2 linked regions of the Neurospora crassa OR74A genome follow. The protein of the gene in region 2 purifies or fractionates together with the protein of the main gene of each other region. This does not show direct contact. Links are inferred from orthologs where the notes say so. Each region holds a gene or a part of one and is shown on either strand. Other genes may lie near its edges.

What was found.
Region 1: the proteins of NCU03905 (region 2) and hat-4 purify together in Saccharomyces cerevisiae (affinity purification with mass spectrometry; 3 studies listed by BioGRID). This does not show direct contact. The link is inferred for Neurospora crassa OR74A from reciprocal best matches to the Saccharomyces cerevisiae genes YAP1 and ESA1.

The regions. Positions count from the first base shown.
Region 1 is NC_026504.1:5,717,097-5,721,614, reverse strand, and holds hat-4 (histone acetyltransferase esa-1), read left to right. Parts: upstream 1-1,616; 5' UTR 1,617-1,759; coding exon 1,760-1,839; intron 1,840-1,915; coding exon 1,916-3,356; 3' UTR 3,357-3,969; downstream 3,970-4,518. Other genes in the region: NCU05217 (RNA exonuclease 4), read right to left, coding at 1-1,135; NCU11146 (aminotransferase), read left to right, coding at 4,314-4,518. UniProt on the Saccharomyces cerevisiae protein: Catalytic component of the NuA4 histone acetyltransferase (HAT), a multiprotein complex involved in epigenetic transcriptional activation of selected genes principally by acetylation of nucleosomal histones H4, H3, H2B, H2A and H2A variant H2A.Z.
Region 2 is NC_026506.1:2,106,384-2,110,803, forward strand, and holds the start of NCU03905 (hypothetical protein), read right to left. Parts: upstream 2,955-4,420; 5' UTR 1,881-2,954; coding exon 1,431-1,880; intron 1,361-1,430; coding exon 619-1,360; intron 552-618; coding exon 233-551; intron 176-232; coding exon 1-175. UniProt on the Saccharomyces cerevisiae protein: Transcription activator involved in oxidative stress response and redox homeostasis.

The sequences.
Region 1 (4,518 bases), on a different chromosome or scaffold from region 2:
TATTCTCCATATCAAACCCATGCTTCTCCTTCCTAAACAACAGCATGGCTACCCTCGCATCCTCCACACTACTATGCTGTCCCTGATGAATCTCGATGCCCAAAACCTCCTTGGCCAACACCCTTAAACTCGGCTTCGGCCCATGTCCATACTTTCGAAACCCACTGTACTTGGCCGTATCCCTAATATCCCGATGCGGATGCTCAAACCCCAACACCTCCAAATCATGCTTGACATCATGACCCACCAATATCCGACCTTTCAAAAGGGCAGCCACAGTTGCTTGTACGGACTCGAACGATCGTGCGGACGCCATGTGGCGCTTGGAAATGCCTGATACATGCGTGCGCCAGTCGGTCACGAAAGCAGTGGGGCGAACGTACGAGTCGTAAATTTGGTGTCCGTGGAAGTCGACGATGGAGCATCGAGCGAGGACACTGGTGGCGCCCGAGGGACCGGTGCCGACCATTTCGCAGTCGATGGAGAGGTATTTGCCGAGCGTGTTGGACTTGGTTGCTTGCAGGATTAGTGCGAGGTCGGTGGTGGTGGAAGTGTCGAGTGTGAGACCGTTGGAGAGGGTGAGGGATGAGGGAAGGTCGGTTGGTAAGGGGAGGCCATTTTTGTTGCTTTTAGGGGAAGAAGAAGAATGGCCGGGGAGGGTGAGGCCTGCGTTGGGGATGGCGGGGGGGAGGGTGGAGAGGAGAGGGATGTGTGAAGAAGAAGAGGAAGAAGAGGTGCCGCGGAGGCCAAGGTTGTACGCTTCGGCGAGGGATTCAGAGGAGATGCCTTGTTCGTCGGCCCAGAGGTGGAGGGAGGGGAGGGTGCTGTTTGGGGAGGAGGAGGTGGTGGGCTTGGATTGGACGTTGCCGCCCATTTTTTCTTCTGTTGGTTTTTGGCTGCTGGGTTGAGACTGGGTTTGGGACTTTTGTCTTTTTGGCTTCTTGGAAGGGTTGGAGGCTTGTTGCTGTTGTTGACTCTCCTCGGCCTTGCGCTTGAGGGTTTCGGAGGAAATGGACTTTTTGGAAATGGCTTGCTTGAAAGCGGCTTCTTGGCTGATGGGAGCTGATTTGGTTGGTTGAGGGGCCTTGAGCTTTTCTTGCAACTTCTTCCAGTTGGAGGAGAGTTCCGGGGCCATGGTTGGTGACAGGAGGGTCTCCTGCCTTGGTGATTTTGATGGTGGTGGTGGTGATGGAGTGTTGAGTCAAGACAGACAAGTGAGGGTGTCACTGCCGATGAGGGATCACTTGTGGTATGTCCAATCACAAATTGGCGGCCGAGGTTATGTGGAGTCCAATTGGTGCTGAATTCTTATTTGGAATGAGAGAAAGTAAACAAAAGGTTGAGACAAACGGAAGATTTCCAGAAGGTGATAACTTTTTTGTATGAACGTGAAAGTGGATGTTGAATATGGGCCCCACTTTGGTGTTCACTTAAAAATTCAACTGGGGAAATCGGTTCCTGGACGATTGACAGGGTAGGCAAGCCATGCAGGGATCTGCCGCTGTGTCCCATTGCATCCCCGCTGAAATGACGGCCCAAACACGTGGGCTCGCCACTGAAGGACCCCTCCAAAACGTTCGGGAAGCGTCCACTGAAAGAGTCGCTGAACACTACAAAACACTTCAAGACTGACGTCGCGCGTCGCCCGTCAGATTGATCGCATTCAATCGCCCATCGTCCACAACCATCAAATCTTGTCGCAAACCATCGCAAGTTATCGACCGAATCATATACAGTTGGATCACACATAGCCGCCATCATGAGTCCCCCAGGTGGCGATGCCACTGTCGGCTCCGACGAGAAGCGACAGAAGGGCAAGGCGACGCCCGACACCATCAAGTATGTTTCCGTCCCATCATTGTCCACGGCACCCCCCATCGTCGTTGAAAAACCAGATACTAACACCACCAAACAGAATGGGATGTATTGCCATGGTGATGAAAGAAGGCCAATTACGACGAGCAGAGATCCTCAGTATCAAAGACACCAAGTCCGGCCGGCAATTCTACTGCAACTTTGACAACTTCAACAAGCGTCTCGACGAATGGGTGCCGGCCGCCAGAATCGATTTCGAGCAGGACGTCGAGTGGCCCAACCCGGACAAGGACAAGCAGAAGGACGCCAAGACCAAGAAAAACAACTCGACGGTATCCAAGAAGCAACCGTCCAAGAAGAACAACCAGAAAAAGGCCAGCAAGAGGGAGCAGTCAGTCGCATCGGACGGGCAGACACCACACCCATGGACCGAGTTTGTCGAAAGCCAGCCAGGGAAGAATAACAGGCAACGGGGGAAGACGGAAGATGGAACCGACGTCAACGCCAGTTTGGAGGTTGGTGGGGACAAGGGAGTCAAGAGGAAAGCCGACGAGATCGATATGGATGAGGACGAAATACCAGCCGCTAAGAAACAACGCCAGCCGTCTTTTTCCAGGGAACAAGAGATTGAAAAGTTGCGAACATCCGGCTCCATGACACAGAACCCTACCGAGATCTCGCGCATTCGGAATATCTCCAAGGTGGAATTCGGCCGCTACGTCCTCTTCCCGTGGTATTTCTCGCCCTACCCGCAGATCTTTGACCAAGAAGACTGCATCTACATCTGCGAGTTCTGTCTCTCGTACTACGGCGAGTTGAAATCCTTTGTGCGTCACCGACAAAAGTGCACTCTACACCACCCGCCCGGAAACGAAATCTACCGGGACGACTACGTCTCCTTTTTCGAAATCGACGGGCGACGTCAGCGCACCTGGTGTCGCAACCTCTGCTTGCTGTCCAAGATGTTTCTCGACCACAAAACCCTTTACTACGATGTCGACCCGTTTTTGTTCTACGTCATGACCACCCGCGACGACCGGGGGTGCCACATCATCGGGTACTTCTCCAAAGAAAAAGAGTCTACGGACGGCTACAACGTCGCCTGTATCTTGACCCTTCCGCAGTACCAACGCAAGGGATACGGTCGCCTGCTCATCCAATTCTCGTACGAACTGTCCAAAATCGAAGGCAAGCTCGGCTCGCCCGAGAAGCCCCTGTCCGATCTGGGTCTGCTGTCATATAGACAGTATTGGTCCGAGAACATCATCGATATCTTGCTCGGGTACAACGAGCGAAAGGAAGCTTGCACGATTGAGAACATTGCTGTTGCCCTGGCCATGACGACACAGGATGTGGAACATACGTTGCAGGCGCTCAAGATGCAGGTGTACCACAAGGGCGAGCACAAGATTGTGGTACCGGAGAAGCTGATCAAGCAGAGGGAGAAGAGCAAAGCGAAGCAAAAGAGGCTGATTGATCCCGAGAGGATCCAGTGGAAGCCACCGGTGTTCACGGCGCTTAATCGGACATGGGGGTGGTAGTTGCTCTCGCTCAGCAAATATTGAATGATACACCAAGACGACACACTCGTGACACCACCACACGGATTCATGACCCAATTAAAAGAAAACGAAACCATCAGCATTACGCCAACAAAAGAAGATCAATTCCTGAATCGATCAGATACTGGAAACCTTGCAGTAGTGTATGCAAACAGAATGGTCATTAACATGGCCGCAAAGTGCACTTGACCTTTGTTGGATTTTTACAATGGTTTCGTTGATTTATTGGGTCATGGATACAATAGGTGGTATGTCGTCTTGGTGGATCATTCAATATTTGGGGAGCGAGCGCTCTTACTGCTGGGATGTCTGTGTTATTCTCGTTGTAATAGTCATGAGAACAAGATTGCATGGGTAGCAAGCGGGTTGGTTAGTATGATATGGCGTTGGTTTTTGTTTTGGACGGGCACTTGGGGAAATGGCTTACAGGAGGGGGGGAAAAAGGAACACCATATGTATCACTATTACGGCCAAAAGCACCAGAATGGTTTGTCATTTCTTTACGAGTGATTAGGAATATAATTACCAGGATAGAGAAGCAGAGCCTAGTCATAATCTCTACTCATGATCAGCGAAAAAGCCTGTTTGCTACAGCACAAAATCTTGACGAAAGTTTAGCTCAAGATTCCCGACTTTACTATTGAGAGCATGGCTGCTTTGGACGTCATCAAACGTGGGTGTATTCCCCGATCTTACAGACCGCTTTCGCAGATTTGAAGCTTGTGACTGGTTATACCGGCTAGTCGTCGGAGATCTCCCGGGCCGCATTCGGTAGTGAGACCTCCAGACGTCACCTCATCCATTGCTTGTGTTCCGTCAGCCCCGTCCAGCCCCACACCTCCGGCCGGCCGGCCCCGCAACCTAGATTCCCCGCAATACGACATCATTCACGACGGCGATCACGACGGACAAATGGGTTAGGCTGAGATAAACTGAATGGTTTCACCACGGCATTTGAGATTCACTCGCTGCCAGGTTAATAACAAAGCTATGGTCCCAAAACCACCACCAACCTTATCTAGGTTCCACTCATCTCACCAACAACTCAACATTCCAACGTCTTCATCACTCCAAGTTAACATCAACACATCAACAACATTAACAACAACCACCGCCAACATGTCCCCCTCAACACCCCCCG
Region 2 (4,420 bases):
CTCGCACCTCGCCATTGCTTCAGGACTTAGGTGCTTTTTCAGAACACTCTTGAACTCCTTCTCATCAACCACAGCACCATAGCCAGAGCACTTTGCTTTCTTCTGCAGATCGGAGCACAAGGCGTCCATATCAATCTCTTGGTTTTGTACACTGGAGCAACTGCGCAATTTGTCCCTGTTGAACATGTTAATAAAAGTCACATTTTCGAGGCCTCTCTCGGTTTGGTCATACCAGATCTTGCTGCAATCAAGTTGCTCTCTGACTCCATCATCCGATGCGTTGACCTCATCGATCTGAGCGATGAGATCCTTCTTCGGTGGTTGTGATTCTGCTTCGGGTTGTGGTGGCAGCAACCCTGGAGCTGTTGGTGGCAGATTATACGGTGCCAGGAAATCCGCATCGAATGCATCATTGGTCAACCAATCGTCAAATCCATTGTTGAGGACATTGTTCTGAGGCTCTCGGTAATCTCCGAAGAGCTGCGGATCAAACTGGAAATTGTCTTGAGGCAACCAGTTGAGAGTGTTGTCAACACCAAAAGTATTAAAGTCTAGAAAGTGTTGGTAAATTCTGGCCTATACAATCAGAGCGAACATTGAAGACTGGTGAATGCTTACCTGGCTGCCCTGAACCAATGACGCCTGGTTGCTCTTCTCCGATTGTGGCCATCGTATCTACTGACTTCAATCCGACGGGCGAATGAGTTAGAGGCTCTGGGGAGGTGCCACACGACGAACTAGCGCCACCCATGTTCGAAGCGCAAGAGGACGGGGAACTCGTTGACGTGCCGGCCCCCGCATTGTACTGAGAATCTGTTCCCCTGGTCGAAAAGTTCGCTCCCTCACCTCTTGCGGACTGAGGTGTGAAGAGATCGGCCGAGTAATGGGCCAAGTCTTCCTTGGTTTGTGTATCAAGGCCTATTTGGCCGTAATTGGGTGTAGTACCGGTGCTGACGCCATTCGTGGGTTGCTCCAGCCGACCTGTTGAAGACAAAGGGGGCGACACAGGGGTTCCCTTCTTGGTTTGATTTGCAGATTGTGGTCCAGGAAGAGGACCGCCAAACTTGGGGAATTCAAACTGGAAATTGACATCATTGAGGTTGCTGACAAAGGAGTTGCCGAACGGCATAGCCCGAGGTGATACCATCGGGGGTCGAGCTGTCATCAACGATAGACGCTTCTTGTACTCGTTCAGTTCGTTACTCATCTTCTCCATTTTCTTGCGAAGAATCTCGTTCTCATGGTTGGCAGTCTCGGAGATCTTCTTCAACTCTTCGACCTTGGTTTCAAGGTCCTTCAAGTGCTTTTCTTTGCGTTCTCTGAACGCTCGTTGAGCTGCTCGATTCTGGGCCTTGCGTTTCTGTTATTGTCACGTTAGTAGTCAATCCTTACTGAGACTCGAAAGGATCAATCGACCGAGGCAGGCTTACCGAGCTGGGCTCAGTGGTAAGAGGCTTCCTGCCGGGCTTTTTGGCAACTTTTCCCTCGCCCTCTCTCCTCTTTGGTTCGCTATTCTCCTCCTCGTCGTCATCCGGATGACTGCGCTTGTCGGGGGACTCCACATCGGCGGAGCCCGACTTGGAATCACTTGGAGCATTGGACCGATCGTCCGTCATGTGGGATTGATCACCAGTGTCGAAGTTGAAATCGAAGTTGGGGTCATGTTGTCCATCAAGGCCGTAGTCGTAACCGAAATTCGGGGTGTGCTGGAAACCCATAGGGTCGAGTCCTTGGGCAGACGTTCCGTTGTACATTGCGGATAGACCAGAGAGGTCGGCTTGTGTGTTGATGGGCTTGTTGGAATTGAGGGCGGCAAACAACAGGCTTTGTTGCTGCGGGGTGAGGACGAGATTGTGAAGAGGGTTCTGAGTCGACGTCATTTTCGGTTGTCTTGTATTGGAGATGGTGACTAAGAGGTAGAGCAGTCGGTTGAATCGAGGAAAGACCTTGGATGTTGAAAGGATGGGATGAATTCACTCTCGTGATCTGATCGCTCCTAGCGGTCGGAGCCGCACAGGCGGCAATTGTCGAGTATCAAGACCGCGGGTCCAATGGCAATGTGTTTTAGCGGAGGTCCGGGGTACCGGGCCCAAGATGTACGTATGTCCTGGTCGAAAACTGATGTCGGGGTAGATCAGATGCTAGTACGGGTGACGATAGAAAATCTCTTGCGGAGACGATGACGTTTCGACAGCACCGTAGACTGACTTTGGATCAGACGGGGACGAGCCAGCGGCCACGCAACTAGCAGCTTGAAAGGCAGAAAACTCGTTGAGCGTTGCGGGCTAGGACGGAATACCAAACCGGGCAGTTCCAGTTCCTGTCCAGTTCTCTCCCGCTTCTCTAGTTTTCGAGACTCAAGTCTTCTCCCAAGGAAGACGTTCGGTGTGAGGTGATGGGGTTTGCCGGGGGTCAAAACGAGAGGAAGGCAGTAGGATAACTTGAACTGAGACAGAAGAGAGGGGACTTGGTCCGAGTGGCAAGTTACAAAAGACGCGGATGTATTTGCACGGAATAGGTAGAGGTACCAGGGCGAAGTTGTGGCAGAAGGTGTAGAGAAGGGGGGAGAAAATTGCGAGTGCCCGAGATGTGAGCCGGAAAGGTTAACTGCCTGCTGGAACAGAACTAACCGTTGGCCGAGCCGAGTGGGTGGGATGGCGGCGGACGCTGACTTGAATTGATGGGCAAACCTATCGGCCTGACACCTGACTCACCTGGCACTCAGCCTTTCGGAATCCTGTCAGCAATTGGGTTCAGGAAATAAGGTACACGTATGATCCCGCGGGGGCTCCTTTTCTGCGATTGGAGAGGCGACGGCACAGGCTGCAGAGCAGGTTTGTGTTTCGTTGGTTCGCTGATACGATTCAGATCTGAGAAGGGAAGGACTCTTGGGCGGTCTTTGGCGATGGAGGGGACGAGACTAAGCGAGACCGTCCAAAAGCGGGCGAAAAGAGTGGACGCTCTTCTTTGGTTACAGGGCCAAACTCGTAGAATGCGGGCTACACGGGGCACAATTGGGCGCATGGACGCTTGGGGGTGTCCAAGTGGAGCGTGGAGGGGTTTCAGTCCAAAGTCAATTTGTCAGCGAAAATCAGTCGAAGGGAACGTCTGGATCGTTCCTGGACGGTCGGGTCGGGTGCGCCGTGACCGGCTCTGGCAACTGTCAGCACACCTTGACATGCCGACGACACCCCGAGTCGATTCGTTCAACAAAAGGACTGACAGTGAGTTCTATCAGATGCAGACAATCAATCAAAATCAGTCGGACCGTTTCCACAAAAGGTACCTCTATGTCGGTATCTTTTCCTATAAGGGATTTCTCTTGTTTCATTGCGTCCCACTACGTAGAGGATCACATTGACCGATTTGACGTGAGTGGGCTTCAAGCAAGAGCTGCCAGTGTCAATCTCTTGAACCGTACAAAAAAAGCCACTTTTTGTTTGACCTACACGTGTATGTACTACAGTATGTAGTTCTAGTCGGAGCCTCTCGAGTGCAGCCCGTCCACTTTTCATCGACGTGGAAATACATCAGTTTCCGCGGGTACCCCAAGTGGAGATTCTTGCAGGCAAAACACCGGAGTGGATAATAAGTGGCCTTTGTTCGACGGTGAAAGAGATGCACTCTCCTCTATCTCCGCATCAACTTGAGTTTTACAAACCTTAACCACAAATAGTGTACACTACACGTGTACTGTGTCCAAGCAAACAACAGCCAGGGGCATTTGTTTGAAAAATGGGCGCACTCGGTGTCGTGATTATCACCGTCGCAATTAGCTCGAGTCTGGCATGCTGGTTTGCCACTGAGACCTGAGTTCGAGACCCAGTCTCCCCATTGAAGATCCCACGTTGTTTCCGTCTTCCTGTCGGCAGTTCAGACGCCTCGTCGATAGGAAGCCCGCATGGCTTATCTCCGAGTGGCTACAAAATATACAATTCTCAGCTTACGGACAACTTGCCATCTGGTTTGGATTACCTGGCCAGCCTGGAGCCTGGACACAAAATCAGGCCATGTTGGACACACATGAGCTTGTCCCGTAGTCAGCTTCGGCTGCCACGGCGGGGAATCTCGAAGAACAATGTCACCGATTCATGTGGTTACCGTTTAAAAGTCGGGTGTCGAGTCTTGAATTGTCTTTTGTACCGATGGGAAAAGGCCCGTGCTGCCAGGAATGTCCTCCCGGCGGTGGTTGCTGCTCGCTGCAGTGCTTGCATCCATTTCCCCACAGTGGATGCGGCACCATGACACGGGCAAGACGGCAGCGCTACAGCTGCGGCGGGGATTCAAGGGAAGGGATCGATCAGCCTCCCATGGATCGATCCACCAGAAAACTGACATCCTCGACTGTTGCGCCAAACAATCAACACTTCGGCTGCAACCGTGATCACAGCCAACGGCGTAAAGTCGGGATTCTTGGCAG